Linked DNA regions of Pelodiscus sinensis. The protein of the gene in region 2 interacts with the protein of the main gene of each other region in a pairwise test. Links are inferred from orthologs where the notes say so. Each region holds a gene or a part of one and is shown on either strand. Other genes may lie near its edges.

Region 1 (10,164 bases), on a different chromosome or scaffold from region 2:
TCCTTTTGGGAAAACACTTACGTAAGTTTCTATTTAATAATATTTGCTACTATCCCATTGGGTTCTATCAGTTGGTTATACTGTGTCACTTCAGACATATGAAGCAATGCTGCCTTACAGACAAAATATGATATGGTGCCACAGTATGTCAGGTCAGGAACTTGACAATTTTTTTTGTCCACTCTCCCTTTACCCACAGTGATATTTATAGAGCCGTTAGGAAAGTGATGCTGCATTTCTCTTGTCCCTATCGACACCAAGAAGAGTTTGAGTCAAGGCAGCTGTCTATTTACGAGGCAGCAAACTGATTATTAGACCCTGTATGATGATGGCAGTATCACCCTAAGGCTTGCATGCTCCCCTGAAGCCATCACTGCAGCATGTACCCTGAGGCTGGGAGAGCAATCTCCACCAAAACAACAATACAGTTGGACAACTAGCTCTCAGGGATGCAAAAGGAAGAAGCACATTACAACTTCTACCTAAGAGGATGTGAGTGCTCTGCAATGCCCCGAGACTGCTGGAGGAATAAGGGACTTAAGCCATTCCTGGTTTCCCACACAGATGCACGCAGCATTCATTAAGCTATCACTGTGCCGCCTTATGTAAAAAAGTTACCTTTTAAGATTAAAAATGACCCTGCAAAATAAGGAAAAAAGTGAATTGTCTCTGTGTCCTGCAATTTTGGGTTTTTTTAGAAGGTTAACCCAAAAAACAAAACGAAAACAAACACAGACTGGTTCCCAGAAGGAGACCCGCTTGCAATAATAAAACAGACCCATTTTCACTAACAAGGTCTTTCAAGACAAGGAACTGGTATAGCTAGTAGTAATCTTTATTTTAGTCCATTTATATATAACCTGTGCAGATTCAGCATCCTTTTTAACATTCACAGATAATCAGGAAACTGGAGCACCATCCGAGTCAGGCAGAAGGAGAAAGGAAAGCATAGAATAACCTCCTCATAATATAGTTTCCTCTCAATCTGTCCCTTCCGTTCCTAATTCCTCTGACACTTAATAGGTATAATTTCACATCTAGCATAACTACACTATCAACAGTTTTGAAGACTCCCAGGCATTACTACAGTTTGTTACTCTGATCTACACATCCGGAATTTCTTACTATTCTTCTTCTTAAGTGTCTTTCATTCTAATTTCCTCCTTCCCTTCACCCTCATCCCCATTAGTTCCTTTTATATCACCATTCACGAGAGCTCCTGGAATGAGGGCTGTTGAGAACTGTCTGGATAATCAATGGTTCTAGTTTCACTTCCTTACACCACCATCATTCCAGCCCTGAGCTCCTTACATTTAACGAGTCCATCTGCAATACTTGAAAGAATCCAAATACTCCCATTAGCAAACCCTCTTTAGATCTCAGTCTTTCCTTATAGCTCACCTGCTTCCCTTACTTCTACAGCAGAGCCAGCATCCCGCTGTTAACCCGTCAATCAGATTTAAACAGATATGGGTTGGCAGGCACCCTTTGGCAGAAAGTTAAGAGAGATTAAGATGTTGCCTAGTTTATTATTATTATTGGAGGACTTTCATGCTGAAAGTAAAAAGCTGACCTTTTCCCCCTCAAGTCAAACAAAATTTGCACTGCAACCATTTAAGTTTCATGGATCAACCATTGTGGCTTACCCACAAAAATGAAATCAGAGGGAAATACAGACCCTATCACATGAGCCAGACTGGAAAAGAATTAACCTTGCTTAACTCTAATGTTATTATTTAGCCCCATGTATCAGGATGCAGATGTGAGAGAGGGGTTTTTTTTTTTTTGTTACTAAACATTTTGTATCATTTATTTAAAATGTAGTGCAAGTTCTCTCCCCTCATTCACAGGTTTACTTTTGACTGCTGGAACATTACAGCCCATTACCATCACTGGATCAGTTTATTTCAGAGGGCTCTGACAAAACTGTGGAATAGTATAAAAGCTTCTAAGTCCACAGATGCAACAACAGAGCATTCAGCTCCCTCCCCACAAGCTGGAGTGTGCATTTAACCTTCTAGCTGTTACAGATGTGACCCCCTCCCACAACAAGTAGGCACACAAGCAGGGATATGATTTTTCCTCATGCCTCAACTCACTCCATTAAAGCTTGTGTGACGCTGGCTCTTACCTGGCAAAGGCAGTTACTCCAAAATTGAGTGGGAAAGGGTGCTTCTGATATTTGCCTTTCCAAATTAACCCCCCCCCCCCATTCCTCAGGAAGAGAAGTTTGATATTTATACAAACATAGCATTCACTACAACACTACCAACTGTAAGGCTTTTCAGTTTGCAATTAACTAAAGTTGGCATGACGGGTGACAAGCCAATGCCACCTGACTTTGTGGCAAGTGACACAGTTATATGCAGCAAGACGGCATGACGTTCTGAAGTGGTGATAGGACTTTGATCATGATGACCAACAACATAATCACCCATCAGTCTCCGCAAAAGACAGCAACCTCTGTAATGCTCCTATTCCCATACACATATATGACTGGCATAGCTTGGTTAGAGATGAGAGGGCTGGAAAGTGATAGCAACAGATAAAGGAGAAGAATTAAGAATTAGTTGTGTTACCTAATATGGGCTTGGAGGAATGGACCATTTTCTGAGCAGCATGGACTTCTTTCCCCAAGTATTGTCTATGCCAATGAAAAGCATATAAAATGACCTTTGACCCAGCAGCCACCCACATGCCAATCCCCAAAGCAAAGGCCACTATTCAAAAACACAGTTGTAGACAAAAATGACCATAAAATACCGCCAGAATCAGTGAAGTCCAGGTATATACATATTAGTTTCTGACAGGCAATGGTGCTGGCTGTGACACAGTCTTTTCAATTATGAAGAAAATGACAAGACTAGAAGGGTCTTAAAAGAGTTTTAAAAAGTCAGTATGATGAGCACGTATTGGGAAAACTGGGAAAGGCCATCACCATGCACAGCAGTAGGTGACCACACTTTCACTACTCGTTGGTGTTTTGTAGATAGATTTGAAATATCTGGGGGGTGAGAGTAGAAATGAAAAGGCCTCAGTAGGATAACCCTGGCAAAAGTTTTGCAGTGTTGTTACAGGATGCCTGTATGGATTGTTTCACTCAGAACCACCACCCCAGCCGTGCACAGCAAATAACCTTTGACAGCCAACTCTGACAGCTAAGAAGTGCAGGCTGGCAGAGGTGGGAGTTATCCTCTCCTTTCACCCCAGCCCCACATTACAAAAACTTCCAGCAGCATCTTATTTCTCACTGGATGTATTTCTCATCTTATTTCTCACTTCTTTAGGATGCAGGAGGCTATTGTGGTGAGTTACCAGTTTCCTTTTTTCTTCAGCCCTTCTTAATACTTTACACGTCAGAATTAATTTCCCTTTCAATTAGCTAACTTAGTCTTTAACTCTGGCCTGCTTCCCCGCTCCCAAGTGGGGCCACATGAATGTCTAGCAAGTCCTGACAATAAGCACATGGTTGAGCCAAAGTTGCCTGCAGTCAGCTCTCTCTCATCGCCACATCCACACATCCCCCTTCTTCCCAGCCTCTTTTAAAAAGTAAATCCTTTCCCACAAGAAGCCGAGGCGCCCTTTGTGAGGCAGTTTAGCAAAGCTGTGAGCTCTTAGGCATTAATAGCGGGTTTAGAGCCGAGGAGGGAGCTGGGGAGGGGTGGGATAGGCGAGAGGGTAAACACGACAATAGGAGGGGACAACAGTCGCCGCGCGGGGAGAAGAGACCACACTGAGGCTGATGGAGTTAGAGGGGCAGAGAAGCGAACCCAGACCAGCAAGCTCCAGGGAGGCGAGCACAGCGCTGGCTGAAGAGACCGCGCTCCGCGTGCCAGGGGCAGCGAACGCCCTGCACCGCACGATGGAGTTTAGCAGCGCAGGCAGGCAGGCGAGCCCGGACCGCCCTGCGCGCGCACCCCAGCGTGCTCCGCTGCGCACGGCATCCGCGACAGGCACTTGCAGCAATGCCCCCGTCTCCGCCGGCCGCGCGCGCGGCCTCTCCGGCCGCGCGCCAAAGGAGCCGGGGCGGGCCCGACCCTCCGGCGTCCCACCTACCGTCCTCCTTGTCCAGCACCATGGTTCTGGGGCTCGCGGGAAACAGCTGCCTCCGCCGCTGGCGTCCGCTCACCCTCCAGCCGCCGCTCCTGTGCGCCAGAGAGGGGAAGGGACGGGGCGCCCGAGAGGGCTTGCAAAGCGCTGCCCGGCGGCACGCGCACCCGGGCCGTCCTCCCTGGGTCTGCTCCCCACCCCAGCCGGCGAGCGGCGGCTGCACGACTTCTAGCCTCGCTTGCGCCGGGCTCGGCTGGGGCGCTCCGCTAGTGCCAAGGCAAGCGCTCAGCCCCTGCCCTCCCGCCACGACTCACAGGCCCGTGCGGAGAGGAGCGCAAGAATTCTGGAAAGATAAAGGAGACCAAATCCAGGGCCGGTTCTCCAGCGCCTTCCCAAGGTGCACAGCCAAAAAATTGGTTTGAATGGAATTGCATATGATAGCTCACAAGCACCCCCCCCCCTCCTCCTTTCTGCTGTTGCTACTGCCGAGCTTCCCAGGCTTCCGAAGTGCTTTTCTCTTTATTTCACTCTAAAGCTAAAATTATATTCAAAGGAAGGGAGGTAGGGGGAGGAAAAATGCGAACCTATCACTGAACGCAAAAGCACTTGCTGCCTGCCTCTCTCAATTTATGTGCTTTGCACTCTCTCTTGCTGCTGAATAAATGCGCACATTTCCCAGGGACCCTCAGATTCCCCTGTTAATTAAATCAATTCATTATGCTCAGATCTGATTAGCAGCCTCTTCCCCCCCTCTTTGAATCAATTATTCAATACACAAACATAATTGCCTGTGCCAGAGGTGTCTAAGTATTAGCTTATTTAACTCCAAGGACACTAATTACCCCTAGGGCAAGGGAACTTTTCTCATTAATTCTGACAAAACACAAAAGCACAGTTAAAGTGTGTGTGTGTGTGTGTATATACGTGTGAGAGAAAATGCAGGAGTCTATAGCAAAGGAAAAGAGGCATTGCTTTAACACACGTGTTACTGTATAAATAAGATCAATTTTCTTTCTACTTCTCACAGATTATTCCCCACATCTCCCCCTGGCTAAACTTTTTAAAAGTAAAGTACAGAACTGCATAGCAATGAATGTAGGTGGCATCACTAGCTTGAAAAGTGTTTTCAGCTACACACACACACACAAAAAGATAAAGAGTTGATGGGGGAAGGGAGAGCAAAACAGAATTTGCAAACTATTTTGTTTACTATGGCAAAAAACTGATAAAACTGTGTAGCAGTCAATTTTCTGTATTTTAAAAAGCTGTGAAAGAAGTAGTCCTATGAAAACAGCAGATAAGATGGCAAATAATGTACCATGTATTGGTAACAGTTCTGAATTGTTTACAATCTGAATTAATGTCAATGCCTACTATTAATGTACTTGCTTCCTATGTTTACCATAATGGGCTTGATTTCCATTAGTTGAAACTGGAACATCATTCATTAGCATTTCCATTAGTTGAAACGGGAACTTGCAGGTTACCCACATTTTAATTCCATGTGAACTTCCATTAAAAAGCATTTATTGATTTCCCCCCAAAATTGGTTTTTACTTACCAAAGACCCTTATTGTTAGTGTCCTCAATCTGCACAGGGGTATTGAAGATTTTGTTTCCCCAGGCAATACATGAGCTGATTCATTATTCCCCTTGCCTATCTAAATCTATCAGGAAACTAATATTAGTTCTGCTCATATACTAAGCTTTATTTCATTTCCCCCCACTGTCTTGATTTTAATTTTTTTTAATCAGGACGGTTTCTGTTGGTGAGACACACAATTTTTGTGATATCTGGAAATTTTTTTAAAATGCCAAAAGATTTGTCTCCTGGGATTTCCTCCCACTTCCACATTACCACATTTCTCATGTTGGGGCTGCCATGATTAGAGTCGTTCATTTGACAACGCTACTCATTATCTTTAAAGCACACATTGTACGTGTCAAATAAAGCCAAGAAGAAAACCTGTTACATTTATTGCTAAGCAAGTTTAACCAAAGTTACTTGCAAATACAACTTACAATATAATATTGTGTTCCATTAGTGCAGTACTTTTTTCTATGAGTATAATGATTTAAAAAAAGCCTGCAGCTTTATAACACAACAAACTCTGTTAATTTTCTGATATTTAATTTCCAGTGTATGGCATATATTGTACCCACATGAAGTTGATCTGTCTAACTTAATGAATCTTTTTGGAAACAACACAAGAAATCTCAAACTTGGAGAAACCTTTAGCTATGTTCATGAACCGCTAATATATATTACATTTTAAAGGCCCAAATGTGCTTCTGCTGTAATCAATTGAAACTTTAACTGCAATGGTAGTAGGATCAAGACCTAAGTATGCAACTTTTTCATTTTACTCTGAGCTTTTTGGAGGTACCAGAGTTTTGTTGAAGGATACTCTTACCAAAGAGGCGTATGTTTGGATACGCTAAGCTGCAGGACACTATGGAAGATGCAAAGGGAGAAGCAGCCAGAAACTGAGTAAAGGGTCTAAACTGTGAAATGAATATTGATTTTGGTATCACGTCTCTAGAAGTGATGTTCACAGTTGAATTCAGGAAGATCGTGGTGTCTGGGGATGAGAAAGAGAAGAAGAGGCAACGGACAAATTGAAGTGAGGTCTCTCAGCCAAAGCCAAGCTATTATAAAACATAAAACATGAAATAATTCTCCATGCAAACATTTTACAGTTTAAATGATACGCACTGATCCCTATCTTTACATTTATGCAGGCTTAATAAAGATCCTAGGATTAACCACTATGTAAAAAGTCTCCACTTCAGAGAAATGCTTTCTACAATATAGTGGCGCATTGCCCTGTGTGCCTTTTACAAATATATTCAGATAATCCATTCAGAAAAGGAAGCATTTGAGTACTTACGCGAATGTCTGGAGTCTAAAAACACTAGACAGGAAATACCATGAGAATGGCCTTCCTTAAGAATTTTCCCATACTAATAAATAAAATGAAATAAATAATACAATATACTACTACTACTATTAAGTAGTGTTGCCATAGCCCCAGTTTACCTGGTACTATATAAATGCACAGTTAGAGTTCCTGTTCAAAGAATTTTCATTCAAAATAGAACAAAGTGTATGAAGAGAAACAGGTTCCGAGATGTGAAAGTGACTTCCCCAAAGTCACACTGTAGGCCAGTGGGAGAGCTGGAAATATGAACCACGTCTCCTGACTCCCAGCCCAATGCTGTAGCACTAGTCTGCATTGCATGCATGCTCAGAACAAGACTAGACATGATTAATATGCCACTCAAGGCTTTATGCACTATTGTTCATATTATGATAGCACCTACAGTGGCTAGGGTCCATTGTGGTGCAGGCTAAACAAAACCACATGTAACAGACAGTCCCTTCATTGAAGTGCTTGCAGTGTAGATAGAAAAAAAAAACCAGACAAAGAGAATGAGGGAAAAGAGAAGTACAGAAAGTTGGAGTGACTTGCCTGGGATCACACATCAGCTGAATTGTAAGCCAAGAGTGAAATCCAGATTTCCTGTGTCTCAAATCAATTCCCAGTTGAATAGATTGCAGTTGCCTTTCTTCTTTTGCTTTGGCCACAAGTAGCAGAAAAGGAAAAGCCTAAAAAATGATGGAGTATAGCAGATGAAGATTTCCTGGGGAGTGAACTTGTGTTGTATCCCAGTCAATGGAAAGACCTCCACAAGTTTTCCTGTGCTTGAATGAGGCAGAGACCCAGTAGAGGAAAAAGTATACAAGTATGCAATTAACTATCATATCATAATGCATACTCAAAGTGGCAGAATTAGATTTCATTAGCCATCTTAATTTTGGCATTTGCTAATGTTTGAGTGCCTGAGTTGTCAACATTATGTGGTGTTGTTTTAACAATTTTTAAATGTAATTTCCTAGGTTTCAACTGCACAGAACAGATTCCTAGCTCATCTGAAGAAGTGGGTTTTGCCCACAAAATGATTTTATACACACACACACACATACACACTTGTTAGTCTCCAAGGTGCAACAGGACTACTCATTTTTAAAGTTACAGACTAACACAGCTACCCTCTGAGACTTCCTTGTACTTGAGTTAGATTTAGCTGATTATTCCTGAAGTGGCATTGTTGAGTGAAACAAAATACAGGACTATGTAGCACTTTAAAGACTAACAGGATGGTTTATTAGATGATGAGCTTTCGTGGGCCAGACCCACTTCCTCAGATCAAATAGTGGAAGAAAATTGTCACGACCATATATACCAAAGGATACAATTAAAAAATGAACACATATGAAAAGGACAAATCAAATTTCAGAACAGAAGGGGGTGGGGGGGAGGTAAATGTCTGTGAGCTACTGATATTAGAGGTGATAATTTGGGGAAGCTATCTTTGTAATGGGTAAGATAACTAGATCCTTTGTTCAGACTCAGGTGTAAAGTGTCGAATTTTAGCATGAATAACAGTTCAGAGGATTCTCTTTCAAGTGCAGTCTTAAAAGGCTTTTGAAGCAGGATGCAGGTAATTAAGTCGTTGAGACAATGTCCTTTCTGGTTGAAATGGCAAGAAACTGTTTTTTCTTTGTGATCCTGTCTAATATCTGTTTTGTGGGCATTGATCCTTTGGCAAAGTGTCTGATACATTTGTCCAATGTACATAGCAGACGGACACTTTTGGCACGATAGCATAAATTATATTTCTGGATGCGCAGGAATATGTGTTCTTGATCTTATAACTCACTTGGTTAGGTCCAATAATGGTATCAGCAGAGTGAATATGTGGACAAAGCTGGCAATGGGGTTTGTTGCAAGGGAAGGTACCAGGGTTGGTATTAGTGTGGTATGTCCTGTGGTTGTTGGTAAGAATCATCTTGAGGTTAGGTGGTTGTCTATAAGAGACTATCGAAAGCTCATCATCTAATAAACCATCTTGTTAGTCTTTAAAGTGCTACATAGTCCTGTATTTTGTTTCAACTACACCTGACTAACCTGGCTACATTTCTATCACTATTGTTGAGTGAGTCAGACTTGCATCTGTCATATTGGTGACCCATGTTTTATTCCTGGCTATTTTAGGGCTTGTTTACATTTATAGCATTGTAGCGGCACTGCTATAGTGCTTAGTGAAGACACCTTCCAGGCCAATGGGAGGGCTTCTTCCATCAGTGTAAGAACTCCACTGTGGGTATGTCTACATTACAGCACTATTTCGAGTTAACTTAATTCGAAATAGTTAATTCTAATGAAGCTAATTCGAAATAACGCATCTATACACAAAAACTATTTCGAAATAGCGTTTTGCTATTTCGAAATAGTGCGTCCACACTGAGTGGAGCCTGAACCAAAGTTAAGGCTGGCCGGAACCAGTGTTGGCAGGACATCAGGTCAGGACTTGAGTGTGTGGGGCTGCTGCCTGAGGCTAACTGAGCTCCGTGCTTAAAGGGACCCTACACCCACCCTGGACAGACCGTTCTCTTGCTTGTCTACCTCAATGAGGGACACCACAGCACTTGGCCACATAGAGCCAGACCTGCCTCTGTGCACGCTGGTGCATCTCGTGGGGTTGTTGCCATCAGCCTGGCTGCACTTGCTGCAGGCTGCCATCCGGGGGGCCCATCAGGGGGCTGTCAGGATCCAGGAAGCCCTGAGGGAGAGCGTCCACCCCAAGGAACTATCAGAGCCTTCCTGGTCCTCCCCACTGGGGGTTCATGCCCCATTCCTCCCTCGTAGAATGAGGTTTACCAAATTCGAAATAAGGGCTCCACTATTTCAAATTTATTTCGAAATAGCAGTTTGCCTGTGTAGACGTTATTAAAGTTAATTTGAAATAACTGCTGTTATTTCGAATTCACTTTGTACTGTAGACATACCCTGAGAGATAGTAGCTATGTTGATGGGCAAAGCCCTGCCGTCAGGGAGCCAACAGACTTGCCAAGCCCCTGGACAAGGTATGTTTGGGGAGTGGGGGATGACAGAGGGAACAGCTCCATGTTCCCAGAAGGAGCAGGGCCTCAGGCAAAAGAGATGGGGCTGGAGGCAGCCAGCCCTCAAAGCTGCCCGGAGAGTGCTGCACAGCGCTCCAATGGTGATTTAAAGGGCCTGGGACTCCGGCTGCCACAGCTGGGAGTCC
Region 2 (9,707 bases):
TACTTAAGGAACAATTTATAAATTGTACGTGTCAATTTACAAAACCTTGTGCATGTTACTACTGCTGCGGAATTAATTAATGCTTGTTTATTCGCCTGATACTGTGGACCATTTTCCTTCCAAGTGTGCATCACAAATGTCCATGATAACGACCAAAGACAAACAAGAGAAGTCTCCTTCAATTTAACCCATCAATTTATTAGAAAGTTGGAGTGACTTCTTAAAGTTTCTAAACTGATTATATTTACTAGAGTACAATGAAACATGAACATTTCTCCTTAGAACAGTGATGACAGCAAAAGAAGAATAACTGTTTTGCGGAACATATACCCTGAGAACTAAACAGCCATCAGCTCTGCATACTGAATTTTACCTCCCTGCAATTTATGACACATCAGTTTTACAGGGGCTTGTGCACGTTAGTAACAAGACTGAAGCTGACAATGTGGATGAGACAGGTGGGAACCTCAGAGAGCGGAGACAACACACTCAAAGTAATGTGCTTGTTGAGAATATAACAGCTCAAGAAGTAGCCTCCTATATAATATGGTACATGTGTAACTTGGATATGTATGTGAAGTATGTCTATGTGTGTGTGCGCATATTCTCATGCCTGTCTTTTGGTAAATATAAATATACTACATGGACAGTATCTGCTTTGTGTGTGTGTAATGACAGCCAAACACATATATACAATGTAAACAAATGGTAATGATTAACAGATATTGGTTTGTATTGCCAATTCTAACTGCAGAGGAAAAATGGTAAAAAAAAGAATCATATTGTTGCGAGGTTTCTTTTATATTGCTTCTTATCTTTCTTCCTTGAAGTCATTTGCATAGCCAAAAGAATAGCAGTTTATTAATTATTTAACTAGAATTTTTACAAGAGCAAATCTTTGAGCTCTAAAAATGAAATGTATGCCTTGAGAAAGATTAGGAAGAAAGAAATTTTACTACTATGAGAAAAGTTAAGTAAAAAATGAAGAAAAAAAGAAAAATGAAAAGACTGTATCTGTTATAGACTTATATGTATTCTATTCATCACAAAGTTCAAAGAATAATCCAATAGTTTCCTTACAATTTTCTACCTTAGTAAAGCATATGGAATACTTTTAACCACTATGTGCAGGTACAAGATAAATTTGTTTATTGTTACATTAGCTTAAGGTTCATCACTCTAAACCAGGTACTCTAGCTAACTTAATACACTACATGTGAGCAAAAGCAATCTTTACTCTTCTACCACAATAAAAAGAAACTAAAGAAAACTGTCAGGTATTTTATATAGAGTTGGCAAATGAATTGCATTGAATAAAATCTCTGAAGTAGTTCAACAATTCTAGTGCCGTTTTCTGGTAAGGAACAGTCTTACAAAAGGAGACACAAAGTGTTAAAATAGTTCTTGCTATTTTGAATTTCCTACTTAATTTCATATTCTTATATTTTTATTTTTCTTCATTTTAATCCCAGTATTCTTTCATTTCCTTTCATTGCATGCATGTTTTTCTGCCCACTTAAACTGTTTTCATCTTCCTTTCTTTTCTGTACCTTTTACTATCATATTCAGTAGTTTGAGCGATGAACAGCTTGACTTAGCATATTTTTAACCAGCTGGTCTAGCACCTAGCCTGCATTGCATAGTCAGATACAACCAAATGTTTATACAGAAGGTAGCTTTCGTGAAAATGAAGGGGTAAAAAAGCCTATGTAGCACGCATCCCCTTGCATTCTTTTATTTACTAAATGAAAAGTTTGAATTCTTTGTTAAAGGAAAACAAGGGCCTATTTATAATATTTAAAAATAAACTGGAGGGGAAGGATATTGGATCTTCAATGAAAGTGTGTACCAATGTATGAGAGAAGGCTTCAAAACACAGTTTAGAAAAGGCAGATTTAAGTGAAAGAAGCAGTAAGCTCTGGAGGTTACAAACTACTGCCAGTGATAGCAAAAACTTAAATCTAAATGTTTAAAGTTCCTACATTAGCTAGAATGGGGAAAGACAATAAATAAACCATAAATAAAAATCCAGCTTTTGACATTCAGCGAAAAGCTGCTGGCAAAAACTTAGAAGAATCAAGAGTTTCCCCCTTTTTTGGATACGTAAAGGCTGATCTCTTGGCAGTTAACTTGACTAAAAATAATAACTTCTGTTAGATCAACAAAGGGTCATGTGCTTTACAAAGCGCCTTCCAAAGTTTTAGGGAAGGATCAGATTGGAAATGAAATCCATGGCTTCACCCCAACCAGAAACCTTCTCCATCACCCCAGAAATCACTTCTTGAAGACAGAGAGATGCTAACAATGAGGGCATTCTGCATCAAATATTTCCTCCCATATTTAGTAGAGTGGCTCAGTGAAGGAGTGCGAGAGAGAGAGAGAGAGAGAGAGAGAGAGAGAGAGATCATGGTAACGTTCATTAAGATCCCCATTAGGGATCTAATCCCCACCAGAAAAGCATTACTGGTGAGGCAGTTGTAGAGGACTTTGCAGATCCCTTCAATCTGCTTCGTGCAACAAAAACAAACAAACGATCAGCAAACTGACATGTAATCCGAATTGCAAAGGTAAAGCTTCTCCACCGAGCATTCTTTGGGGGAGCATCTCACCACTGACACAGAGACTGCTGTAAAAAGGGAGAGTTAGACTTTTTTTTTTTTTTACACACACATACACACACAGAGAGAGACATGCACACAAAAACACTCCACTCACCTTTCAAACTCCTGAGGTAAATCAGGGTCAGTTAGCATGCTGGAAAAGCACAATTTCCCTTTGTCACAGCAGCCACCTATGATCGCCTCCAACTGAACCTGTCAAGTGAGTCCAAACCTTCTAAACCGATTGATTTTCTCTTTTTCTCTGTCTGGCTCTCTCTCTCCCACCCCCCTCTCTGAGCTAGGACTCCTTGACCAGTCTCTTAAAGGGGTAGCACACTTAGCAGTAGACACTGTTTCTAAAACTCCCCCCACAGCGGAGCAGCACGCTGCGGCTGCAAGGCACTAGACAACCTCAGGGTGCCTGTCCTTTCCTTTTAATTCTGTCCTCCAGTCACCACAAAATGGGAAAAGTCAACTCCTGGAACGTCCATGAAATCCAAAGAAACCCCCCGAAATCTATAAACCAGGAGCGAACGAACCCCTGCGCTGAGGCAGATCAGGGGAGAAAGAAGATAAAAACAAGAGCAGCCCGATTAAACTGAGGCTATTATCCACTCCCTCCGAGTTGAAATAGGGAAGAAAAGATTAGACACATAAAAAATGTAACCAAAGGCATTTGTACTCAAAGAATTTCCATTCCTTCCCCCCTCCCCCCCCCCCTCTTTTTAAAGTCTCCCTCTCCGTCTCTTTGGGGGGAAAAACAACAAAAAACAATCAGGCATTGTTCTGAGGGAAGAAAAGCAACTTTGACAGATTGAAATATAGCAGAGGCCCCTTCAAGGAAACCTGTAAACAACTTGTCACTCACTCTGTCGGTCGCACTGTTAGCTCTTGCTTGCCACAAAGTGCTGCGAACCGTCCTGGCAACAAAACCAAAGTTTCCTCAGCTCCAAACTCCATCAAACAGCCCTGGTGTGTGAAGGGGGAAAGGTAGCCACATGCCAAAACAGCACACACCGCGCACACACAACAGCCACCAGCAACTTTCAGGCTGTCCTCTGGATTTAAAAAAACAAAACAAAAACCAAATCTCTCTCTCTCTCTCTCTCTCTCTGAGCAAATCAAAGGAATCCCTTAGCTGTGGATCTCTTTAATTTCCTCTGCCCAGACAGCCGCAGATAACAAGGTGGACAAAGTGTGGTTTTAGAGAACCGAGGCTGGCTGGCACAGCACAGCCCTCAGAGCGGTTCCAATTATCTAGATAAAAATCTGGCAGACGAGGAAGGTAATCAGGTAATGGACCTTTGACATGAAATGACAGAGGCGCGCGCGCGCACACACACTCACACACACACACATGCAGAGACAGGGACTGGCCAGTGCACTGCAGCATCTGGTCAACCAGGAACGCACACACACAACATTCACACGCAGATAAGACAGTGTGAATGCTCCACATCATATATACACACACACACACATACACACACAGAGAGAGAGAGAGGGGGAGAGAAAGAGAGAGACCAGCTATCCACTCCTACTGGGAGGGTTCATTCTGCACAAAAGGCTACATTACAGAGCCCGCCCCAATAGGGAAGGGGTGGGGGGAGATGGGAGAAGCCTTCTATTGTGGAGAGGGCAGGTCAGTTGATTAGATTTTCTGTGGAGAATTCCACGAGGAAATTCCCTTCAAAGCCAAAGTGATTAACTGGGGGGCTATTCTGGAAATGGAGCAGACAATGGCTCAATAGTCTGCGCTGCCAATGTCCAGGCTGGCACTGAACTCACTTTAAAAATAAATAAATAAATACAAGCTTCCAGTGTCTGTTCTTTTTACACACTCAACCCCTCTATTCCTTGCCTTCCAGTTTCTCCTCCCCATTTAGGCTTGGTTGGGTTTGGGCTGCCTTTTTTTTTTTTTTTTTAAATGTGCAGCTGGACAACATTAAGAGCCTTTAAAAAACACAAGGTTTTGACCCCCACAGCAGTTTGATTAGGTCCATTCCCTCCCTGGCTCCCCCTTTCCCTGACACAGGCAGAGAGCAAGTTTACTTTTTTTAGAAGTACCAAGTGCAAGAAGACACACTAACAAGAGACTCTATATAACTTTCAGCCCTTTCGTGTTGATAGGTTTAAAGAAAAAGCATGCCAAGTCTATTAAAATCCAGCAATATGTGCCTTTAAAATAATGTAGTCTTTTAAACTTTGCATATATTGTAAAGCTACACATACATACAGAGAGGGCATGCACTCAAGTGCAGTATCAATACTTTATCAGCATGAGTCGGACATAGCTTTAGTCACAAGAAATAATAAACACTTGTGAGTTACGAACATTTCAAATGTGCATTACTCTACTTACATGGGAGCAAAACATTAAAGCTAAATTTGCAAAGGCACCTTCCATGTTCCACAGAAAAGAGTTTAAAAAAAGAAGCTTGTCTCAAATCTACTTCATATATATTGCAGCATTCAGAGCAGGCACATAGAAATTGTCAACTCCTGGCATGAGGTAGATCTAATGGCTCCTCACCATGGGGCAGGGTAAATTGGTCTTCTTGAATAGCCCCTGGCAAATAATATTTTCAACAGAGGTACATTCACAATAAACTGACAAATCTAGTTAATATGCACAAGAGTTTTTGTTTGTTTTTAGTAGATAACCCTTCCTGAATAACTATGAAACAGACATTAATAGAGGGGCAGCAGCAGATGGGAAAAAATAACCCCACATACTTTGAGGATCATAAACCATTTTAATTAAGCCACACATTACTCTTCTGTAGTAAATAAATGTAATTCTACCTAATTTTGATACCCTTAGTTGTACTGAACAGTACCATACACCACAGAGAGACCTACCAAAATCAGCAGGGCTCTGTCTGGAGTAAAGTGCTATTCAGTATGAATATAGGTATAAGGTTTTGGCCTTTGTTAAGTAACTAGGCCAAGCTCAGACAGCTAGTAAGTGACTGCATTAGGATGAGAATTCAAGAGTTCTTACTCCCAATCCCCTGCTCTAATCAAGCAGTAATACTGCCTCAGCTGATGGGGACACAGCTGCTATACAGTTTTGTTTTAGAAATTCATGCGTCCTTTTTTGCACATCTGCAAATTTCAAGTGTTTCACCTACAAAGGCACTAGAGTTCACTGCTTTGTTAAAATGGTTAAAAGTTAGATTACCCCCTGTAATGTTGGCAGAACTGGTGCCAGTTCATGCCAAAGCCTGTAGGCTTCACTGAACACTGACAAATGCAGAGCTGGAAACTAGTCTGGCTCACCTGTGTATTAGCATTGTTAAAATAGATGTTAAGTTGATAAGCATGAGTTTAGTGTTTAGACTTGATGAAATATTCATAGGAGGCTGCCAGTACTGATCTCCCATATAACATCTGTAGTCCAAACTATGAAGTTGTACTGTTTGTATTCTAAACCTCTGTAATTGTACAACTCACCAAACAGGAAAGAAGCATTAATTAGCATAAAGTGCTGGTCTTGCTCACAAGAAGGCCCATTGAAACCAAATGAACCATCAAAAAATTAAGACTTCGTTAATAGCCCCTCCCACATATACCCATGAAGAGCACCAGCACTTGTTCCATCAGTTTGAACCCAAGGGGTAGAAAATAAAAATGGCTGACCAGAAGAAACTGTATCACTCTGCTGAGTGAATCTAAAGATGGCAATATTACTAAGCATAAGTAAGGGATCCCCAAGCTACTTAGCTTGGCTTATCCCTAAAGGACACAGAAAGCCTGCATATTGCAGCAGCTTTTATTACCTTTTGTAACTCATTTGTAGATGTTTACCTTCTTTAATCTTGTAAATAACTTTAATTTCTTTTTCTTAATTAATAAACATTAAGTTAGTTTATATAGGTTTGGCTACAAGTGTTGTCTTTGGTGAGAGATTTATGGTAAAATTGACCGGAGGTAAGTGACTGGTCCTTTGGGACCAGGAATAACCTCAATATTGTCATGATGTTTGGCGTAAGGGACCACCTAATCGCAAAGGCAAGCTTGTCCTCCAGGGGACTGTCTAGGAATTCATTTTTAAGACTGTTGTAGTGCTTGAAGAGTTCACACTAGGCACTAGCAACCAAGTACCAAGTGTGAACTTCTCAAGTACCAGTTGGAGTTTATGCCCTGCTTCTTAACAGTGTATCCTGAGGCTGATACTCATGGTCATGAGCCAATCCAGATAGCTTGGCACCTCCCATGGATACCTGTCAAATTTGGGTGGCTCCATTTTAATTAATCATTTTCACACTCCTTAGCCCCCCTTTGCTAGCTCTGCTATCCCATTCCTCAGTGATGCTTTACTTTTCCTATCACTGAGCATGGAGCAGGACATTGGTCAGAGGAGGAAAAGCAAAAGAGGCAGAAGAAGATGTAGAGAGCAGGAGTTTGCTCCATAGGGAAGCCTGAGGGACCACTCCCTATTCCCTAGCTCTCTTTGCAACTGCCTAGTTTCCCTTTTATTCTGAACTCCCTCACAGGGTATGTCTATACTGCAGAGATTTTTTCAGATTGTTTTTCTGAAAAACAATTATTTTTCTGAAAAAACTTCACTTACGTTTTTCTGAAAAAAACTTCACTGCACTGCAATCGCATTCTTTCCAAAAAAAAATCGAAAGGACATAAGGTTTTTTTTCAACATTGGTAAACCTCTTTCTACAAGGAAGAAGCCTTTTTTCAAAAGAGCTCTTTCGGAAAAAGGCGTGTGTGGATGGGGAAAAGGTAGTTCTTTCGAAAGAAGAGGGAAATGTACAGGTGCCCTGGAGGCCACTCCATCCATAGGAATCACAAGTTAAATGTGAGATAGCATGCATTCAGTGTGGACACTATCTTTCAAAAAAGCAGATCACTTTTTTGAAGTACTTTTGATGTGTAGGCTCTCTCTTTCGGGAGAAGTTTTTTTGGAAGATCTCTTTTGGAAAAGCTTCTGAAAGAAGCCTGCAGTCTAGACATAGCCCCACTAAACTCCCTCTCATGGCTCACAGAGGAAAAGAAGCAGGGTCTAGAAAAGGGCAGAAATGTTACCATTGTTATCTTTATGTTTCTCTGTGAAGCCAGGTTTGTCTTAATAATGTGCCCAACTGCAATCTCAAGAAGGAAAGGAGGGAAAATTTATAAATAATTAATTTAAGAAACCTCTGGAAAATTAACTGAATAATCTTTTCTACAAATCATACTGTCACAATTTTTAAGACCTCTTACCTCCGGGGCTGCCACAACACAGAACAAGAGGAAACCAGAGGAGTTGGGGAATTCCCTGCTATTCTCCAACAACAGAACATTCTCATTCCTAACTTTGCTGTTTCTTACGATATTGGAACTTACATCTGTTACTGGTGCAGACCTGAATGTTGCCCATCAAATAACTCTGACCAACATGTTTAGGGAAGAAAGAAACAAACGTTTGTGGGCCAACTCTTTTGTTTATTTCTTTCTTTTACTTTGTATTTAAACTAGGTGTCTATTTGAAGGGACGCAGAGGTTTTCACATGTAACAAGTAGTCTCAACAAAAATGATATACAGCCAGAGTGTAATAGAAGCAGTCGAAGGTGAATGATACATTAAAATGTATGTTATGATTCCGAAATTTATCACTCCGATATCACCAGACATATTGGCTGGATAGACAACATAGCTTTAGATAGAAAAACTAAAATATGAGTAACTCTAGAAGATTTCAAGGACTAAATATACATAAAATAATAACTCAGAACTTGAAAATAATTTGGTGTTTACTAGGAAGTAACTCACAAGTGAATTGCAACAAAAGCAGGAATTTCAAAACCACACAATGCTGACCTAATCCGGCTTCCATTGAAGTCAACTGCACTGTTCCTACTGACATCAATGGGAGCAAAGTTAGGTCAACAATAACCATGAAATCCTTTTGGACCCTTAGGTATTTGGTCCACACCACTACAGGACATAGTCACCTTATAAACTAACAAATTCATCCTCAACACATCCCTGAGAGGTCCAAAAAATGTTATTTAGAACCATTGTATAGGTAGGAACTATAGCACTGCTTGATTAAGAATCAGATCTCAGCTGCTGTAAACTGGCATAGCTATTGTCAAGAGACCTTCACCAATACACACAAATGGAGTATATGAACCTAAGTGTTTTTCCAAAAAAATCACAGAGGAAATCAATCACCCAAGACCTAAACCAATGCCTTAACCACAAAACTCTCTTCCACTTCTAGTGGCTGTTGCCTCATTCACTATACCCCGGCAAAGAAAGACAATTGAAATTGGAGAGTAATGGGGGATAATATAAATGAATGACTGAGGCTAAAAGGAAGATATATAAAGTGTAAATGTCCATATAAGAAAAACATGCATTATATAGGTTACAAATACAACAACACTGATAGTATTTGGGGAAATATGAGCTGTTTGTGCTCCAGATATCAGAACACAAGCATAATGGAGAAAAGAAAATCTGAACAAAAATGTTCCTAAAATTGTTGAATGATAACACTTCAGATCTGTCTTTGGCAGATACAACAATAAAGTGAAGCAAAATGCTGGAAAATAGAGCTTTGCCCGTTTTGTTTTTTTCCACTGGAAGTTGTAATAGAGGTCTATAAAGTCCAAGAAAATGTAAGATGTTCCACAGAATGATCTACTGGAAAATTCTCAAAGTGAATATAAGAAATCCTAAAGATTATAAACAGATTTTCTTTGCTCAGCTTAAACTCTATAGCACTGCAGTTTTAAATATGGCCCTTTAACATTTCTATCCCGATTTATTTTTTTGTGGGCAGAGAGCAGGATGAGAATGGGCTAAGGTTGATAAATTTTTTTCTACTGGGAATATTTTGTGAAGAGTGAATGCTTAATTTGGAAGATGGAAATATTTAGCTACATCATTCTTTGAATCATATACTTAGGAATAGATATTTTCCTTCCGAAGTGCATGCCTAACTGTCATTTCCATTAATAGGAATTAAGTACATATGTAGGTGTGGAAGTTAACTCTTACTAATATAATGGACTTATGCTATTTGAAAATATGAAAATGCTGAATCAGGTTTGTGTAGTGTTGGAGAAATCTAGTGCTGAATAGAATATAGAAAAATAGTT
Region 3 (10,694 bases), on a different chromosome or scaffold from region 2:
CCCTATTAAAGCCCTGGTCTTCGGGCCAGAGGATGTTGTGGAGCCACAGGCTGATTCTGCACTGCTTCAAGAAACATTTCCTTTTGTTTGAATCCATGTTCCTATGGACACTCAGGTGCTGTGTCTCCCTCTGCCAGTTGCTGCCTGTGAAGCTGGGCTCTGAACCATGCAAGGGCTGTGCATCCCAATCGCAGCACCTGCATCTTTGCAGGAGAACTACAGCAGAGGAGTCTCCAAGGACACAGAGGTGGGAGCTGGTTTAGCCTCTGATTGCACAGACGCATGTAAATTGTATTCATGGTGGAGCTTTAAATCAAATAGATATGAAAACACCAGCCCCCAGAGTAGGAAACCATCATGCAGGAACGGGGGGCTGTTTAAGATCAGCATTCCACAGGAACTCTTTTCAGTAGTGTAACAAGGACTCAGTCCAGATGGGCAGAAACAGGCTGCAGTTAGTGGTAAATAGCATAAATTATAAATAAATAAATTATTGGAGATTGCCTATCTCCTAGAACCAGAAGGGACCTTGAAAGGTCATTGAGTCCAGTCCCCTGCCTTCACAGCAGGATCAAGTACCAACCCTGACAAATTTTTGCCCTGAATCCCTAAATGGCCTCTGCAAGGATTGAACTCACAAGCCTGGGTTTAGCAGGCCAATGATCAAACCACTGAGCTATCCCTCCCCCCTTGGCTGTACCTACACCTACTTGCTCCTCAAGTCTTCATTCATGCCATCCAGGAAGGTACTTCTTCCAGGGGTTCCCCCAGACCCTGAGATTAACTTGGTTCAATTTTGTTTGGATAAGCCGTCCTCAATACATGCTCAGTATTGTTATTGGTTGTTTAGACACTATAGCAACAAGGTCAGTATAATACTGGGCTTTCAACGATATTAAAAAAAAAAAGAGTCACTAAACCAAGGTCTTGTCCTAAACATTCTCACCTAAAAAATGGAAAGGAAATTCACATATGCAGGAGGAAAGGTCCACTGGTTTTCAAGCCTGGGATTCCTAGGAGTAAAGGTTTTTCATAACTGAGGTTTAGGCATGGGAAACATCCCCTCTGCTGTAAGATCTCACTGCTTGGCTAAGATTAAACACTGTGATCACAGAAGCTCAGCAAGAGCTGCTTCATGGCCTGGAAAGCAATCCAGCTATTCCGGACAAAAGGACAGAATACAGAATGAAAAGGTACAATTATCCAATATGGCTTAGATCCAAAGACCAATTAAAGCAGTGAGAGTCAACTGACTTAAGTGTGTTTGGTCAGGTCCTATATTAGATTTCTCACCACAGTGTCTCCAATTAATTTACATCTCCACATCTTGTGAGCTGCAAACTCCATGTAAGCTCAAGGGTTCATTCATTTTTATTACACTCATAGAATAGTTAACACTCAGGCACAAAACCAACATCTTTGCCATCTATATCTCAGACAATCTCAATTCAAGGCCTACACTATTCAGAGCAAGTTCATCCATTTCTAACAGTTAACTTACATTATCCCACTCTTACCCCACATCCTTTTCTCAGACAGTGATCTCTGCTAATTCAGTTTTACATCTCACTGCTTTATGAAGCCAAACTGAACTCTCCACAATTATATTTTTTGAGTCACTATGACTCTGGACTATATACATAGCCACAAGAACTATTTATAACACGAGGTGATATTTTACTGAAAGTGCCTTCTGTGCCAATCAGAGCTAGAGATTCAGTAATTTTCTAGCTTGCAACCCCACATGGCTAAATGGTTAACTCTATGTGGCCACATATCCAGTCCTGGGCTTTTCTAGGGTCTGGACTTCACTCATCCTCTTTCTCTGTCTAAATGTAGTGCCCAATCCCACAAAGTACTGGCTGCCTTAAAACCCAGTAATAACAATAGCAATTAAGGTCACACAGCAGGACTGAATTAATAATAAATGGTGGATCCATATAATAAATTGCAGAACCATTATGCTCAGGTGCACTGCCTCACATGAATAATGTGGCCAATCTCAGTCCAACAAAACCTACATCCCACATTACTTATGATATACTATTTAGGTCATCTAGGGACCAGATGTAGAGTAGCATTGAGCTGACACCTCTCCTATAAGCATCATTGGGAGCTTCAAGTGTGTAGCACCACCGAAAATCACACCCCATCTCTTTGGCTCTGTTGCTGTTTCTTGTTCTGTATCTATCTTATCATTTATCTGGGGGATTATTGTAGGAAAGTTTCTTGGAAGGGGTTATTTGAACCAAGAGAAGGAAGTCATAAAAAGCACAAATTACTCACTGTTCCTTATACCACAGCCCTTCCTGTACTGCCCCCTCTCTCTGATCAGTTACAACAATATGTAGTAGAATATTTTTCCAGCCTCCTCCTCCTCTCCTGTGTGCTATTGCACTAAGAGGAGTACAACTCCAGTTTCCTGTTTTTTTCACAGTAATAATCAAAAGAAAGGAAATAACACAACCCTTAAGCTTTTTTCAATAACAGTAACATGACACTAAACAAAATGTGTGAGACATTACAATCATAGCTGGAATGTCCCCAGTCCCCCACCCCGCTTTACCCCTTATCAAAACCTCTTCCAGTTTATTCCTGATTGTGACCCTTCCCTTCACCAGCCTCCACACTTCAAACCTGTGGCTGGCATAAGCAAAGCAGCAATCCCTCTTAGTAGAGACTCAGTTTATACTGGCAAAAAAAAACATCTTGGTGGCATAGTGTATACCAGTTACCTAAGCAAAACATGCTTCAATGCTATAAAACACTTTTTGCCAGTGTAACTGACTATACTAGAGCTTTTGATGGCACAGCAATGTCATGAAAACCCAAATAGTTCTACTGGCAAAACTTTGAAATGGACTAGCCTCTCACCTAGCTACATCATTATGGCTTAGATTTTTTGTATTCTTCAATGCTTTTTTTTTTTTTTTTTTTTTTTTTTTACTGCAGCTACTAGCATTTGAAGGCAATAAGGCCTCTCTGGTGAATTAGTATATTCTTTCAAAATAGAAATTATGGAAGTAATTCAAGATTACTGCAAAACTCCAAAACATTATAGGGTATTTTTGCAATGCTATATCACAGGCTCCAGCAATAAGACCCTCTAGCCCAGGGGTCGGCAACTTTTTCAAACCAAAGAGACAAACTACCTCAAAATTCAGAACTAGTGGTCAACAAAGAGCTGTATAAGAATGCCCATTTTCATGACTGAAAATATACAACTTAATATTATTGATAATTGACATGATGATTAATAACAAATGAAATATTGTACTCCGACTTTTATTTAATGGGACTTCTGCTGCTGCATCTTTTCGCACGTTTCTTTGAAGTTTACATCATCACTGGTGAAATTCAGGGTCATGCATAATTCAAGTTACATGAATAATTATGTGTTCTTAAAATTTTGAATTAATTTTTTATTTTAATTTTAAAAGTTGCATGTATTTTGGGAATGAGAGAAGAGCCATATTTGGTTACATACCGAGCCATATTTGGCTTGAGAGGCATAGGTTGCAGACCCCTGTCCTAGCCCCTCCACTGGCTGTGCCATTTGGCTTAATGGATCTTTTCAACAATTCAGTTTGTCTCCATCCACTGAACCCTTACTTTAAATCTTCCAGTTTTTCAGGGCTAAGTGCTCCTCACTAGTTGCCATTTGAGTGTATAATTCAAAAGCTGGCATTAAATCCCATTCCCCACTGCTGTATATCACTATTTTTATTTTAAATAAAGTCATCTCCACAAGGTATCAGAAGCCAGAGAGAAAAGATCAAATTTATTTACAGAATGTAACACTACCAATGGGCTAGACACACATGGACACAGAAAATGGAGACAGGCTTGAATAGCAACTACCAATGAATATTTGAACCAATATTTCAGAATGGACAGAAATATCAAGCTAAAATAATGCTACATTTTAAACATAGCCATGTCTCAAGGGGATAAACTGAAGGAACTCATTGAAGTCGGTGCACCGGCACTTGTATTGACTTCACTTGTATTGGGCTTTAAAGGAACAGTTCTAAAAAGCCTCTGGTTTTGTAACTGTCTTTAAAACTAGAAATACTGTCCACAGTCTCAACTACTAGCCATGCTCTGGTAGGGACAACTGAGTTTTTGTACTCAGCTCTTCCCTTCAGGCACTGAGTGAGGCTGGGATTTCATTTCTCCAACTAAAGCCACATATTAGCTGGCTTCCGCTTTCTACTACAGATACATCAGGCATATATCCCTGGCTAGTAGGTATGCCGTCAAGGTAACAGTGTCCAGCATGTCCCCACGAAATCGCACAGGTCAGTTTCTCTTTCTCTGAAGTGCGGAACACAGAAGTGCATCTTAGGAGCAGTGTGCTCGGGCTCCCCCCTTGCCTGCGCCTGGTTCACACGCACGTGCCCGGGTTAGCCAGCGCTCCCTTCCCGGACGCGGCTCACGCGTGTGTGCGGGGTGCCTGGCTCACACAGGGGTGCGGGCTCGTCTCTTCCCGGCATCTGGGTCATAGTTGTGTGCGGGTCAGCCCCCCCCCGCACCCGGCTCCCCCCCGGGTCAGCCCGCCGGCCCCCCCCCGCACCCGGCTCCCCCCCGGGTCAGCCCGCCGGCCCCCCCCCGCACCCGGCTCCCCCCCAGGGTCAGCCCGCCGGCCCCCCCCGCACCCGGCTCCCCCCCGGGTCAGCCCGCCGGCCCCCCCCCGCACCCGGCTCCCCCCCGGGTCAGCCCGCCGGCCTCCCCTCCCCGCACCCGGCTCCCCCCCGGGTCAGCCCGCCGGCCTCCCCTCCCCGCACCCGGCTCCCCCCCGGGTCAGCCCGCCGCCCCCCCCCCCGCACCCGGCTCCCCCCCGGGTCAGCCCGCCGCCCCCCCCCCCGCACCCGGCTCCCCCCCGGGTCAGCCCGCCGCCCCCCCCCCCCGCACCCGGCTCCCCCCCGGGTCAGCCCGCCGCCCCCCCCCCCGCACCCGGCTCCCCCCCGGGTCAGCCCGCCGGCCCCCCCCCGCACCCGGCTCCCCCCCGGGTCAGCCCGCCGGCCCCCCCCCGCACCCGGCTCCCCCCCGGGTCAGCCCGCCGCCCCCCCCCCCCGCTCCCGGTTCCCCCCCGGGTCAGCCCGCCGCCCCCCCCCCGCTCCCGGTTCCCCCCCGGGTCAGCCCGCCGCCCCCCCCCGCTCCCGGCTCCCCCCCGGGTCAGCCCGCCGGCTCCCCCCCCCGCACCCGGCTCCCCCAGGGTCAGCCCGCCGGCTCCCCCCCCCGCACCCGGCTCCCCCCCGGGTCAGCCCGCCGGCCCCCCCCCCGCACCCGGCTCCCCCCCGGGTCAGCCCGCCGGCTCCCCCCCCGCACCCGGCTCCCCCCCGGGTCAGCCCGCCGGCCCCCCCCCCGCACCCGGCTCCCCCCCGGGTCAGCCCGCCGGCCCCCCCCCCGCACCCGGCTCCCCCCCGGGTCAGCCCGCCGGCCCCCCCCCGCACCCGGCTCCCCCCCGGGTCAGCCCGCCGGCTCCCCCCCCCGCACCCGGCTCCCCCCCGGGTCAGCCCGCCGGCCCCCCCCCGCACCCGGCTCCCCCCCGGGTCAGCCCGCCGGCTCCCCCCCCCGCACCCGGCTCCCCCCCGGGTCAGCCCGTTCGCCTCCGGGAGTGGCCTGGGCCCGGCCGGCGCGGGAGGGGGGGAGCGGGGCAGCCCCGCAGCTGGCCCGGCCGGGGTCCTGCTCCCTCAGGCGTGGGGGGAGGGGCGAGCCGCGCGCAGCGGGCGGGCGATCGGCGGGAAGGGAGGGGGGGCGGCTCTCTCGCGAACTACAAATCCCAAGGGCCCGCGCGGCGCGGGGCGGGCGCGCTGAACTGACGGCGCCCTTGTCCAATCAGCCGCTGAGCGCCGCCCAATGGGCGCGCGGGGCGGGGCGGGGACAGAGTTGCTGCTTCTCAGCCCGGACACTCCGGAGTCTCGCATGGGCCGGGCGGCGGCGCGGGGGCCGGGCGGGCGCTGAGGCCGCGGCGCTGCGGGCGATGGGTAAGAACCAGCCTTGCCTGGGCTGGGTCGGCAGCGCGTCCCCAGCCGGGAAGCGCGGGGAGGAGGGGAGTTGGGGGGGAGTTGGACTGAGGGGGGGGAGTTGGGGACTGGGGCTGGCGGGGGGGGGAGTTGGACTGAGGGGGGGGAGTTGGGGACTGGGGCTGGCGGGGGGGGAGTTGGGGGGCCGGGGCTGGCGGGGGGGGAGTTGGACTGAGGGGGGGGGAGTTGGGGACTGGGGCTGGCGGGGGGGGGGAGTTGGACTGAGGGGGGGGAGTTGGGGACTGGGGCTGGCGGGGGGGGGAGTTGGACTGAGGGGGGGGAGTTGGGGACTGGGGCTGGCGGGGGGGGGAGTTGGACTGAGGGGGGGGAGTTGGGGACTGGGGCTGGCGGGGGGGGGGAGTTGGACTGAGGGGGGGGAGTTGGGGACTGGGGCGGGCGGGGGGGGAGTTGGACTGAGGGGGGGGAGTTGGGGGGACGGGGGCTGGCGGGGGGGGGAGTTGGACTGAGGGGGGGGGAGTTGGGGGGACGGGGGCTGGCGGGGGGGGAGTTGGACTGAGGGGGGGGGAGTTGGGGGGACGGGGGCTGGCGGGGGGGGAGTTGGACTGAGGGGGGGGAGTTGGGGGGACGGGGGCTGGCGGGGGGGGGAGTTGGACTGAGGGGGGGGGGAGTTGGGGATGGGGGCTGGCGGGGGGGAGTTGGACTGAGGTGGGGGGGAGTTGGGGACGGGGTCTGGCAGTGGGGGGATGGGGCTGGGAGCAGGGGAGAGGGTTGGGGTGAGGTGGGAGGCCAGGACTGGCAGCAGGGGAGTGGGTTGGGGGTAGGGGGAGGAGTTGGAGTGGGAAATGGGGCTGGCAGCAGGAGGCGGGTGCCGTGCCCCATTTGAGGACAGGGAAGTCAGCTTTGGATTCTGGTTACGGTCAAACCTCCGGCGCACTCCCGAGCCCCTGTCCTGCAGCTGGGTTTGGGCTCAGAGAGAGCAGGGGTGCACTTGCTCCCTAGCAGCCCCTTGGAGATGGGAGCCGCAGCTGCCCAGCCCGGTTCGCAGGCTGGTCCCAGAGCCCGGCCGTTAGGCTGCAGATTCTTCAGAAGCAATGAGGAGGGAGGGGGAGTTTTTTCCTTGTCTCAAAAGTTTCTAGCTGCAAGGGGCTTCCCAGTAATTTTTATCTCAAAATGCACTTTTCTTTCTAGTTGGTAAATTTCAGTGCTGTGTTGGGTTCTGGCTTCCCACTTCCTGTTGTGGTTTGTAATCTTTAGCTGTTCTCAGCTAATTTGTTGTGACAGCTGTCAGCAACAGCTTTTTTTTTTCTTTGGTTCCCAGAAGAATCTGGCTGTTTTTCCCCTTCCCCGTCATGGCCTCCAAAGGGTTAAGCTGAGGTATTGTACAGTGTGTACGCAGAATTCTGGTTCCATTGTACGCTGTCATTTCCCGAAAGTGGCTTACTCTTGTGCTTTGAAGATGCTAACGGCCCCTCCTTCCAAGTCAAGAAATGGTTTGACCTTTTCAAGAACACTTTTCAGCTACTACAGCCATGTAGAAGAATGAAACTATTCCCATTTGCCCCATGCTCACGCAAGCACATACATACACACACGTACCAGGGTAGTGTGAACAAGATAAATGTTTAGTAGTGGGGGCAGGGGGAGGGGAGAAGTGACTCTGGAAATTGCAGTTTACTGCTGAGAAGTACAAACATCTACTCTCAGTAGATTTTTCCAAAATACCAGAGGACCTGGCTGTTCCAGATTAGGTTGGAGCTGTTTTTCCTTGGATATTTAGTAAATTGCATTTGTCCACAGTGCATTCTCCTGTTTTCTATGCATTGGAATATGTATGAGATTGAGCATCCCCCTCTCCTCTTAAGTAAGGTTTAGATGAGCTCATGGGTCATTGTCCTCTCTCATTTCTGATTTGTTAGCAAGGTTGGGTGGCCTTTGTTTTAAGATTTTCTTTTTGTGGCAGGGTAATCTCTAGGGTGAAGCCTGGAGAGCAGACTTTTATTTCTTGCTCTGGCCTTGGGTGACTCCTTGCCTCATTCTGTGCCTCAGTTTCCCCACATGTAAAATGGTGTTTTTGGTACTGCTCCATTTTATATGATATGTCGACATCAATCCACTAATGATAGCAGAATAAAGAACTGAGTTGAAGCAGCATGCCCTGCTCTCCTCTCTGGACTGGTGAGAAGAGGGTGATTGGAGCCCCAAATTGTGCAGAAGGGCAGCCCCAAAACAGGCACTTTGCCATACCAGTAAAACTGCAAAGCAAGGCCCAGCATGCAGCTGCCTTGGAAAAAAACAGGTGCTTTGCAGTGCTGCAACCCAGATAAGATGCATCCCAACTGGCATGAAACAAAGAACAGTGTAATTACTGTATCTTCTGGAAAGGGGGAAGGGAGGCAACAACTGCTGAGGTCTGCCTTGGAAGAATGAAGCGGGAGCTGCAAAACTCTGCAGAGCAGAGAGGCAGATTCCTACATGTGGTGTGAGCCAAGCTGTGTTCTCACTCCACCACATGCAACCCCCACAAACCTTGGTCCATCCAGTATAACTGTTAGGAAAACTCTAATTAATGGCATTTTGCTTGCTTTGTAATTAACAAACGCCTGCACTTGTCTCCTTTGTTTGTTGGGAGTTGTGCTCTTGTGTCAGTGAGTGTTCAGGTGTCTGTCCCTTTGTCTCCCTGCCTGTTCTCTGTGCCATGCTGATGAGCTGAGGCAGTTTGGAGGGGACAGACTCTTAGCCTTCCTTCCTCCCCCACAGTGGCTCCTGCCATAAGCCGGGTAAAAGACTCAAGCTGTTCTCTGCTGTTTCCCAAAGTTGTCATCATGTCCAGTAATCCTCTCAGAAGCCGGGCTTGTCTTGGCTGCCTTGCGTGGTGATCTCATGCCCAGAGAACATTAAACCGGCCAGTTTTCTCTCCCCTTTGTACAGTATGTGAAAGCGTTTTATGAGCTCGCTGACCCCGTGGGGCTGAGAATGACACACAGCAAACACGAACTGGAGTAGGCTGAGGGGTTGAGCTTTGGGAACAAATCAGCACTTGTTGTTGTTCAAAAGGCTCAGGAAGGAGAGGTGGATATTTCAGCAGCATCAGGAGACAGACTGATGTGACCTGGTTCTGATCCATCAGCTCTGGTTCCCATCTGCCTCCCTCCCCCCCCCCCCAGCTTGGAAAAGGGGGTTGTTGGAGTAGTCGGTGACCTCAGCCCGGCAGATGTTGCTCGCAGGAGCTGTGGCACCGGCAACAGTGCAGAGTAGGAGGGAGGTTTTGTTTGTTTGTTTCTCTTCCTTTCTTGTTATGTAAACAGAATCTATATTAAGCAGTTATGCAATGTGGGAGGAATTTCACAAATGCAGTAAGGTGGGGCAGGGTCTCTGCCCTGAGCTCACAGCAGAGCATGAGCCTTTCATTTCAAGAAACATTGGGTAGTATTGGAGCTGCTCGGCAAGGTGGCTTGCATGACCACAGACGAAGCTGTCCATGATACGGCCCAGTTTCTGATAGAGGGTGGCCTCCATGCTTGCTGTGACAAATCAGGGTCCCTCTTGAGGACTGACCTCTGCACAGGGACTTGGCACTAGATCCCAGCTCTGCCACTGCCCACGTTTCTGCTCGGTTCCTGAGTTTCCTCTCTCTCAATTTAGAGTGTAAAATCTTCAGGGCAGGTACGTGTCTGTGCAACACCTAGCAAAGTGGGGCACTGATCTCCATGTGGCCTCTAGATATGACAGTAATATGCTTCTTAGAGCATCCTGGCTGTGCTTCCCTTGGCCTGGCCCTTGGGCTAGAGTTTCCCTTTTGTCTCTCTGTTCGGGGTGGGTTTACTTTTTTGTAAGTGTCCAGTTCTCAGTGACTTTCAGGCTGAATTAGCAGCAGCACAGCCCCATATACATGTTTTAAGCCTAATGGGGACAGTGCAGGGCAATCTGACTTGGAGAGGTTGAGATTCTTCTGTGAGCCAGGTGGAAACTGGTGAGAAGTATTTAACTGCTGGGTGGTGAAGGGAGGTAACCTCTATCCAGCTCTCCATGATGTTCAGGCTCTTGTTGATGAGCCTGAGGGTAAAGAGAATTCGACAGGGCAGGATTATCAAGGGCTGCAGTAGAGGCAGGTTCCCATGTGTTGCCATGTCCTAGGTGATGAGTGGGGAAGTAGAAGGTATCTCCACTTGCTCGCTGGCTAAAGGGATTTTTTTCATCCCTCCTCAGTGACTCGAGGGGAGAGTGAGCCACCTGCCAGAGGCAGTTAGCTGAGCGTCTGGCAGGAACGGATGTGGCTGAGGTGGGGAAGCGTTCACAGCTCCGCACTAGCTCATAGGGCTCCAGGAAGCCACCCTGAAAGTGAAAGCAGTGGCCAGACGCCCCGCCATCACGAGCTGTTGACAAACACAGCATATCTCTGAACAGGAAGCCCTGCAGGTACCTGCATCACAGAGGTCTCTGTTCTTGGAAAGCCTGCTTGTTTTCGGGCCCAGTCCAGGGTATTGGGCCCCTCTGACATATCCAATGCTGAAGTGTCCCTGACTGGGGACTGTCCTTCCGTTCAGAGGCAGGACCCGCCTCTGAAAGAGCGGCATGTAGCAATGAACCATGGGCCCAAGCATGAAATCTTGAGAGACCTGACTATTCCCCGAGTTCAAGGCTATGCAGATTGGGGCATCTGGTTCTCTGTCCTTTGGAGAGGCCTGGATTGGGGAGTCTGAATCG

The links.
Region 1: the proteins of SOX5 (region 2) and LMO1 interact in binary tests that used the Homo sapiens proteins (3 or more experiments, as listed by UniProt). The two-hybrid records come from large-scale screens. The link is inferred for Pelodiscus sinensis from reciprocal best matches to the Homo sapiens genes SOX5 and LMO1.
Region 3: the proteins of SOX5 (region 2) and ARID5A interact in a two-hybrid assay, tested with the Homo sapiens proteins (2 studies listed by BioGRID and IntAct). The two-hybrid records come from large-scale screens. The link is inferred for Pelodiscus sinensis from reciprocal best matches to the Homo sapiens genes SOX5 and ARID5A.

What each region holds. Positions count from the first base shown.
Region 1 is NC_134714.1:108,225,876-108,236,039, reverse strand, and holds the start of LMO1 (rhombotin-1), read right to left. Parts: upstream 4,117-10,164; 5' UTR 4,079-4,116; coding exon of another isoform or gene 4,057-4,078; intron 1-4,056. UniProt on the Homo sapiens protein: May be involved in gene regulation within neural lineage cells potentially by direct DNA binding or by binding to other transcription factors.
Region 2 is NC_134711.1:116,738,750-116,748,456, reverse strand, and holds the start of SOX5 (transcription factor SOX-5), read right to left. Parts: upstream 4,494-9,707; 5' UTR 3,561-4,493; coding exon 3,469-3,560; intron 3,290-3,468; exon of another isoform or gene 2,754-3,289; coding exon of another isoform or gene 2,716-2,753; intron 1-2,715.
Region 3 is NC_134738.1:5,952,451-5,963,144, reverse strand, and holds the start of ARID5A (AT-rich interactive domain-containing protein 5A), read left to right. Parts: upstream 1-5,832; 5' UTR 5,833-5,986; coding exon 5,987-5,990; intron 5,991-6,842; exon of another isoform or gene 6,843-10,406; intron 10,407-10,694. UniProt on the Homo sapiens protein: DNA-binding protein that may regulate transcription and act as a repressor by binding to AT-rich stretches in the promoter region of target genes.